Ovis aries: one gene and its partner. The protein of the gene in region 2 interacts with the protein of the main gene of each other region in a biochemical or structural test. Links are inferred from orthologs where the notes say so. Each region holds a gene or a part of one and is shown on either strand. Other genes may lie near its edges.

Region 1 (5,097 bases), on a different chromosome or scaffold from region 2:
TTCTGCCTCCGTCCTCACATAGCTTCTCCTCTGTGTGTCTCTGTGTCTTCTTATGGCCTGCTTAGAGGAATACCAGTCACTGGATTAGAGCCCACCTTAAGTTAGTTAGCTTGCTCCTTGGAAGAAAAGCTATGATAAACCTAGACAACATATTAACAAGCAGAAACATTACTTTGCTTACAAAGGTCCGTCTACTTAAAGCCATGGTTTTTCCAGTAGTCATGTGTGGATTTGAGAGTTGGACCATGAAAAAGGCTGGATGCCAAAAAATTGATACTTTAGAACAGTGGCATTAGAGAAGACTCTTGAGAGTCCTTTGGACTGTAAAATCAAACCAGTCAATCCTAAAGGAAATCAGTCCTGAATATTCATTGGAAGGACTGATGCTGAAGCTGAAGCTCCAGTACTCTGGCTACCTGATCTGAAGAGTCAACTCATTGGAAAAGACCCTGATGCTGGGAAAGAATGAAGGCAGGAGGAAAAGGGGACAAGAGAATGAGATGGTTGGATGGCATCGCAGACTCAATGGACATAAGTTTGAGCAAGCTCTGGGAGATGGTGAAGGACAGGAAAGCCTGGCATAATGCAGCCTGTGGGGTCACAAAGAGTCAGGCATGACTGAGCGACAGAACAACAGCAATAACAAGTTAATGTGACAGGCTTCCCAAGTGGCTCAGTGGTAAAGAATCCACTTGTCAGTGGGAGAAATGCAGGGGATGTGGGTTTGATTCCTGGGATGGAAGGATCTCATGAAGGAGGAAATGGCAACCCACTCCAGTATTCTTGCCTGGTAAATTCCATGGACAGAGGAGCCTGGTGGGCTGCAGTCCATTTGGTCACAAAGAGTCAGACACAACTGAGCACGCTGTGCTAAGTTAGTATGACCTCATCTTCACTAGTTACATCTGCAAAAACTCTGAATCATGCAATCACGACTTTGAAAGATGCTGAGACCTCAGAACTAACTGGGAGTAGATAGAACTTGGGAACAAAGCCGTTCCTCTCTAGCAGATGCACTTGAAAGCCTGGTAGTTTTTCCATTCTCCTTATTTGGACAAAAGGATTTTAAAGAATATAATTTCATGGCCTTTTAAAAAAAATTCCTATTTTAGTGGAATTAATTTTAAAACCATCTTGCTGCAGTTTCATTGAAAATCACTTTTTTCTTTCTGATGGAAAAGAAAAAGAAAGGTTTAACTATGAAGAAAAACTAAGAAATGGGACATTCCTCTACATTCTACTACAGGTGATCAAAGTACAAGGATATTTAGAAGAAAACAAACATTTGATATGTAATACCTTTAAACATTCATTTTTCTAATTGCAGTGAGTGGTGTTGAACTATTCATTGGTGCTAATTATTGCATGGTTTTGGCATGTTAGAAAAATTGTCATAGGCTGTAAATAGTTACTTTTCAATTCAAAAGAATGCTTGGAGGTAAAATGCTATTATTCAAATAGCTTTGAAACAAAAGTGACTTAAATACATATTCCATAGCCCCAAGTTAGAAACAGTGTTCCCTCCATGGTTCTCAAAGGAAATCCCTGTTTCTTCTGGTTATGGAAGGAACACAAACTCATTTTTACATGAATGGGCACCCTTAAGGGTGACTAGGATTAAAGGAACACTGCATCTCACTGTAGCCAACAATAAATCATGTGGCCAAAATGCAGCTACTCACAGCCTCTTGTGTGTATCATTGTGTAGCAGCTCTTTGTAAATTGGGTTAGTAATTTTGAGGACGTCATCCCATGCCAGAACCCCCGAGGGAAGCAGCTGCTTTGGTGGGACTTTGTGGAGTTTCTGAGCCATTTCTGCTATTTGTCTTGCCCGTGGGGCAGGGCTTCCTAATGTGGGCTCCATGATAGCGTCAGGAAGATTATGAACTGGGATAAGAAAACATAGGGCAGCTTTATTTTCTGTCTACTTCCAACTAAAACTTTATAAACCATGTCAGTAAGTAGTCAGGAATCCATAGTGGTATCGGTACCACCTGTCACTGTCACCCATAGAAGTCTCAGCTGCCTTGAATACTTTTTACTCTTCATCACTTCCAAGTTACTGTGTTGTTGGGCCATCTGTTAGATCCCATCAAATGTGCTAGATCCCATCAAATAAGAACCATATACAAATCTGTCTTTTAATGTGATAGCTGTGTATCAGTGTCATCCATTTCCTTTGTGAATTTGTGTTATTTTAAGCGTTTAAAAATGCTATTCTTCATGAAAAACAAGGCAAACTAAGCAACTGTCACAGAACCAAGGTTTCTAGGGAGACATGACAGCAAAATACAATGGATACCCTAGATCTTGGAACAAAAAGAAGGCAATAGTGGGAACACTGGAGAAATCCAAATCAAAGCCTGAAGTGTAATTAATGGTAATATAGCAACAACGGTTTCTTCCTCTTAACAAGGGTACCATGGAGATGTCCAGTGTCAGCAGTGGGGCATACTGAATGAAGGTCATTCAAGAACACTCTGGACCATCTTTGCAACTTTTCTGTACATCTGTTAATAATCTATAGTGGCTTCCCAGGCTTCCCCAGTGGTGCTAGTGGTAAAGAACCCACTTGCTGATGTAGGAGATGTAAGAGATGCATGTTTGATCCCTGGGTGGGGAAGATCCCCTGGAGGAGGGCATGCCAACCCACTCCAGTATTCTTGTCTAGAAAATTCCATGGACAGAAGTGCCTAGCAGGCTGCAGTCCATAGGACCAGAAAGAGCTGGATGCGACTGAGCACACGCACACACACACGCACACACACACACACACACACACACACACACTTCTGTAGTGAGTCACACTCTCACTTGGTCTGCTGCTGCCTTCCAGAGATCACACACACATACACACACACGCACACACACACTTCTGTTGTAAGTCACACTCTCACTTGGTCTCCTGCCGCCTTCCAGAGATGTTGGGGTGGGGCTTTTGTGTCAACTCAAGGCCTTCATAGCCTCTTTCTGTTACAGCTCTGAGGAGTTATGTAGAGAGACCAGTCCAAAGGGAGGGAGAAGTTTTCCAAGAAGTAAAATAATTTGCAGTGTATTATGGTGAAAGAGGCATTGTTCTGGGATCAGAAAGGTCCAGCTTTGTATTCTGTCTCTGTCACCAGCTTTGTGCTCCATGGCCAGAAATTGCTCTGGACATCCTCTTCCTCTTTGAAAAATGAGGCCATCAGTAATGGCTTTGCCAAGGTCATTGTGAGGATTGACATTAGCGTGGCCACTTAGTAGCCCTTTCGTTGGTTCTGGTTGGTGTGTTTTAGTGTCTGTGACATGCCAGGCACCATGCAAAGCATTTTTCATAAGGTATCTAATTTAATCTTCATAACACATGTATTGCATGACTATTTCATAGATAGGGAAACTGAGGTCAGAGGCTCAGCAACCTTGCTGTTCAGGCCACTACCTGAGCTTGACTTCACATCTGTGCTGGCTGCAGCTTCCTCTGTCTTTGAGGCTAAGCCTTTCCCCCCTTCCCGAGGGGTCTTGGTTATGGGATGCTCTTCGCCGTCTCTGACTTCTGAATCCTCTCTTGTTGATTTTGCGTACCATCCAGATTGGGATGCTCCCCCATGACTGTGGTTCATTATGGTTGGCTTCTCCCGACTTGAGATTACCTGGCTGTAAAATGAGAATGTTGTGTGGTCCTCACGGTCTGTCCCTCTACAGAAGATACGTTCTGCACTTTGTGGATTTTACCTGCTTATTTCTGCTGTTTCATGGGGTGTTTACTGGGTCACTGAAACCAACATTTTTCTGATTTGTTTTGAGCAAAGTTGTGCATTTCTGTGTCATTCTCCCAGATTCCAGAGAGGGAGAAAAAGAGTTCCAAAAGCCTTAGTGACCTCCTAAAACCATAGCGATTAAAAAAAGAAAAAAAGAACCTGGAGGCCACTGTAACATTAACATCTTCCTTAATTGTGATTTTGCTGAGGGATTATTTTAAAGGACCAGGGAACAATTTTATTTTTTGTTTCTTTCTTTGATTAGAGTGGAGACATCATGTGCCATGATGTACTTGCCAATTATTTCAAATTGAGTCTAGCAAAGTTGGAGAGTGTCAAGTATTACCTGGACAGGTGAATTTAGCCATAAGATGTAGCTACTGGGTAAGGAGCCTGATTTTCACAAGCGATGTGGAGATGCCTTTAGTGTGAAAATGAGAAAACCACTAACAGTGCTTGGCATGGTTACTTCAGTGGGGGCTGGGGGGTCTGGTGATTGCATGATCTGCTCCCCTGTTTTTCAGTTTTTCCCCTACATCCTGCTGCTGGTGGCCATCCTGCTGTACCTGCCCTCCTTGTTCTGGCGTTTCGCAGCTGCTCCTCATGTTTGCTCAGATTTGAAGTTTATCATGGAAGAACTCGACAAAGTTTACAACCGCGCAATTAAAGCTGCAAAGAGCATGCATGACCTTGACTTGAGAGACGGTGCCTGCCCAGTGCCAGAAGTTAATGAGAACATGGGGCAAAGGTAACTCAGCCCCCAACCCATCGGGATTTGGGAGTACGAGTTTGCTGCCCTTCTGTCCATCTGGGCTTCAGGTTCTCACTACTAGTACGTGGGGGACTGCCATCTGCCTCGTGACACCCGGGGGGAGCCAGGAAGGCCCGCCCTCCCCAGATCTCACCCTGCCTGTCTGCCCCAGCCGCGGTCCTCACCTCAAGTCCTTCCCTTGTGGAGTGAAGCATCACTCGCTCATGTTCTCAGTTGCAGGGCGAGTTGCTTTGACCTTCCCCTTCATGGAGAAACACAGGATTATGAGGCTCCTGGGCACCGAGATTGGACATGAGGGAACTAAGGAACAAGTAGACAGCACCTTGCTCTTTTGGACATCCTTCCTTTGGTTTTTGTGATTGACAATAGCAGTAATAGCATTAGTAGGTCTCATTTTGGGCTTCCCAGGTGGCTAGTTAGTGGTAAAATATCTGCCTGTCAATACAGGAGATCCAAGAGACGTGGGTTCAATCCCTGGGTTGGAAAGATCCCCTGGAGTAGGAAATGGCACCCCACTCCAGTATTCTTGCCTGGAGAATTCCATGGGCAGAGGAGTCTGGCAGATCACGGTCCATGGGACTGTAGAGA
Region 2 (4,204 bases):
GGTCATCAGACTGGGATTCAAAGTGCCTGGCCACCCTGTCATTCACCCGGGTGAGGATCTGCAAGATCTCCAGGCTCTTCCCATGCTCATTCAGGATGGAGCAGAGGGCCTGCACAAACCAGGAGCCACTCCCTGGGTTCCTCCATGAATAATAGCCTTCAATGGGAGAAGAGAAAGGAGATGAAGTCAGCTGACCTGGCTGCTGCTTTGCTCACTACCCAGCAGGAGCTGTCTGTGACTGGGGCCTTCACATGCGCTCTTCTGAGATGACAGCAGTCCCCACTTCCCCATACTGGATATGTGTCCTCCAAACTCTGTACTACAGGGAATCATTCTAAAACACAAATCTCATGTTGTCCCCGAGAAATGGAATATTTCCTGCTCAGTAAACGAGGATGTCACAGTCATCAGTGACTGCAGCTCTCCAATGTGAGCTGGTGAGCACAAAGGGCACTCAGGAAGGAGAAGAATACCTGTGAGCTAGCAGCCATCAGACTGCGGCCACTCCCGATGGTGAGCCCCAAGGGAGCTCGGGTTGTGAAAAACACAGGATACTGGCCCCAGTAGTTGATGCATATGAAAGCAGTGATTTCAGGCAGTTCAGACTTTTGCATCTTCCCATACATAGAGAGGCATTACATTAATTTGGGTTATCTGGTTTTCTTTCATTAACAATAGCCTTTTGATGTTCAAACTACCCACCCTTTCGTTGCAAAACTTCTATATAACCTGGCTCCTTCCCTTGTCTCCTTGGAGTTCTCCCAAGATTACTTGAGATGCTATCTCCCAGGCTTAAGTCCTAAAAATTTCCATGTAATAAAACATAACTCTCAAGTTTTAGGTTGTGAATATTTTTTAAGTTGACATCCCTCTCTCACCTAAAATGGTTCCTTCTATATGAGGGTGAAATTTAGGCTGCTTAGCACATCCCACAGGGCCCACCACAACTGGGTCCCCATTTCCCTGTCTAGGTTTGAACCTTGTTCATGCCCAGTCCTGCAGTCCATGGGGTCGTGAACAGTTGGACACAACTTGGCTAATGAACAACAACATGCCCAGTCATACCCTGGGCTACGGCCTCTCCCCTCCCTGGGCCACGTCAGTGAAGAGGCAGTGGTCTACAAGCTAGGGTAGCAGCTCTCTTCAGAAGCTACAATGCCTGGCACCTTGATCTCAACCTCCAGAACTGTGAAAAATGAACTTCTGCTCCCTAGCCTGTGGACTTACGTTAGAGCTGCCTGTAAAGACTAACACACCCTGTGGTCCAGCTCTTGAGTTTTACCAATGCACTGAGCCACCTGCCCCTGGCACTCTGTCTGATAAGCCATTTCAACCTTCCTCCTGTTATTTGATTTTTAAAGACTTGGTTATAGAAGTTCTTTCTTTGAAGCCTCTCTCTCCCTAGAACTCACCCTTAGAGTTCACCCTTTTTCCTTCAGTTCTGCCAGACCTGGCTTAGGGCCCCTCCAACTCGACTGACAGGTTGGATTACATAACTATAAGCTCCTATGACTCTGCCTTCCTCTCAAAGGCAGGAACCAAATTTCTTTTTTACAGGATTCTTAAAACTGGGAAGTTTTCATTCTCACAAAATCCCATCTGTACATCTTGCCAGAGCTGGTTTTCCAAACACAACAGCCAACTTACTGTAACCAATACTTCTATACCAAGCACTTGACAACCTACTATCATAGCTGGGAGAAGTCAGTGATGGTTTTTACCCCAAACAATGGAGTTCACTGAACTTGCTCAGGCAAACCCAAACAAGAGGGAAGCTTGCTTGCTGCTGGCATTTCTGGTGCTTGTTTACAGGCTTGTTTAAAGGAGTCCTGGTCTGAGCTATATAACTCTATTATGTATGAAAATCTCTGTATGACCTTGGGCAGGTCACTTAAACTTACTCAAGCTCAATTTTTTTTTCTATCTGTAAAATTAGGACAGAAGTAACAACTTTCCTAACTACTACACAATTATTTCAGGGTAGAAGACACGAAAAACACTCAGTAAATAGGTACCATAGACATGCTTGTTCTTATAATTATCAATAATAATCATAATCATAATCATAAATGAGAGAATTCAGCTTTCTTTTGGAGAGAAAAGTGACTATATCGCCATGGTAAGCAGAACAGTGGCCCTCAGAAATGCTCACGCCATAAAGCAGGGGTCCTCAGGCTCTAATGCCTGATGACCTGAGGTGGAGCTGATGTAAGAATAATAGAAATTAAGTGCACAATACATGTAATGCACTTGAGTCATCTGGAAACCACCCACCCCCACCCTGGTCCATGGAAAACCTATTTTCCATGAATCATGTCCCTGGTGCCAAAAGGGTGGGAACTGCTGCCCTAGAGCACTTCACAGATGGGGCTGAGGTCAAGGAAACAAGATGGAGAAATTATCCTGGGATTATCCAGACAGGACTAATCTAACCACAGGAGCCCTTACAAGAGGGTCAGAAAGAACAACGTAAGGATGGAAGGAGGGTCAGGTACGAGGCTGCCAGCTTTGAAGCTGGAGGAAGGGGGCCACAGGCCAAGTAATGCAGGCAGTTCTAAACTGCTGAAAGTAAGGCTGTGGATTTGCGCCCCCTACAGTCTCTAGAAGGAACTGCTGTCCATTCTGGAATTCTGACCTGCGGGACTGTGTGTGTTCAGCCACCATGTTTGCCGCAATTTATCACTGCAGCAATAGGAAACTAACACAGCTCCAAGTCTCCATTTCGAAGGTGGGATGCACAGTGTGGTTAGCAGCCAAGGGACTTGATACCTGGAACTGTGGAATAGGCAAAGAGAAAGTCGGCTTCAACAGGGATCTTATATCGGGGATTAGCATCAGTGTCATTGATAGGTCCTGAGTCAGCCTGGATCCCGTCATCGAGCTCTGTCCCCCGGCAAGCCTAAAATCAACACAGAGATGGCTGCATGAAGCTGAGAATAGGAACACGTGTGTTACTCACAGCTGTATTCCACTGCAGTCCCAGAACTGTGCTTGGCATGTACCAACAACACAACGATGTCCAAGATAATCTGAAGATGTGTTGAATTAGCAAGCAGAGCAAATAAAAAGACTATACTGTCTTAAACTCAGATAATTTGTGATCCAATGCAAATACAGATGCCAAGCATTAGAGGTAGAAAAATACAACCTAAATTTGCATACCCCAATGGAAACAGCATGTAGATTTGTAAAAAATGATACAAGCCAAGTCACTCTGTAATCTTTTTTCATTTCTATTGACTTCGTTTTTTAAAATTATTTTCATACTTAGAGAAAATTAATTTATTTGTCTGTGCTGGGTCTTAGTTGCAGCTTAGTTGCACTTAGTTATAACATGTGGGATCCAGTTCCCTGACCAGGGATTGAACCTGGGCCCCTGGCATTGGGAGTGCAGAGTCTTAGCCACTGGACTACCAGGGAAGTCTCTCTATAGACTCTGAAAAGGGATTACCTGAATGAAGAAGAGTTTGGGCTTCTCTAACAGGGTTTTGCATCGATCCCCCCTAAAATGGGCTGTCAAGTCCTTTATTGCTGTCTTGCCATCTGTTCCATAAATTAAATTTTCTTCTCCATGGCTTAATAAGATGCAGGCGAAGCAGGCTGAATTTCTGTGGTCTTCTTCAGAAGCTGCAAGCCATCGAAACATTGAAAAGTTAAAATATGATTCCTGAGTGTGGGACCTCAGAGGTACTATTCCCTTTCAGTCTGGCAGCTGCCACTGACGAAGAGGGACAGGCAGAGGGTGGAGGAGCTCCCCTGTATGACACTGAGGAGAGGTTAGAGGGAGAATTCTAGAATTCCCACTGAGTCTGAAACCAGAACGCGGCTGCCTCACATGGAAGAGAATCCCACAGGCAAGCGGGCTTCAGGCAGCTCCTGGGACAGCATATTGGGCTGCTAAAGGCCGGGGCCTTGGTTAGGTCTGTGACACTGGGCAAGCTGCTTAACCATTTTGTGTCTTGGTCTTCTTGTCTGTAAAATGGAGCTACCCATTAAATGGGTTGATATTTGCAAAGCAGACCACATGAGTATCAAGCAAGTATTTGTTAAAGAAAATAAAACACGCTAAGTGAAACAAGACACTGACTAAAGCAAAGATGCTCTATGATTTCACATATATGAGCTTCCTAGGGTAATCAGGTTCACCAAGGCAGAAAGCAGGATGGTGGTTACCAGGGGTTGAGGGGATGGGAAATGGGGCCTT

Evidence for each region. The genes of interacting proteins can lie anywhere in the genome.
Region 1: of the proteins of CASP7 (region 2) and PANX1, one has a biochemical effect on the other in vitro, tested with the Homo sapiens proteins (2 studies listed by IntAct). The link is inferred for Ovis aries from reciprocal best matches to the Homo sapiens genes CASP7 and PANX1.

The regions. Positions count from the first base shown.
Region 1 is NC_056074.1:200,189-205,285, reverse strand, and holds part of PANX1 (pannexin-1), read left to right. Parts: intron 1-4,261; coding exon 4,262-4,485; intron 4,486-5,097. UniProt on the Homo sapiens protein: Ion channel involved in a variety of physiological functions such as blood pressure regulation, apoptotic cell clearance and oogenesis.
Region 2 is NC_056075.1:33,720,954-33,725,157, reverse strand, and holds part of CASP7 (caspase-7), read right to left. Parts: intron 3,628-4,204; coding exon 3,452-3,627; intron 3,421-3,451; exon of another isoform or gene 3,348-3,420; intron 2,900-3,347; coding exon 2,770-2,899; intron 157-2,769; coding exon 1-156. UniProt on the Homo sapiens protein: Thiol protease involved in different programmed cell death processes, such as apoptosis, pyroptosis or granzyme-mediated programmed cell death, by proteolytically cleaving target proteins.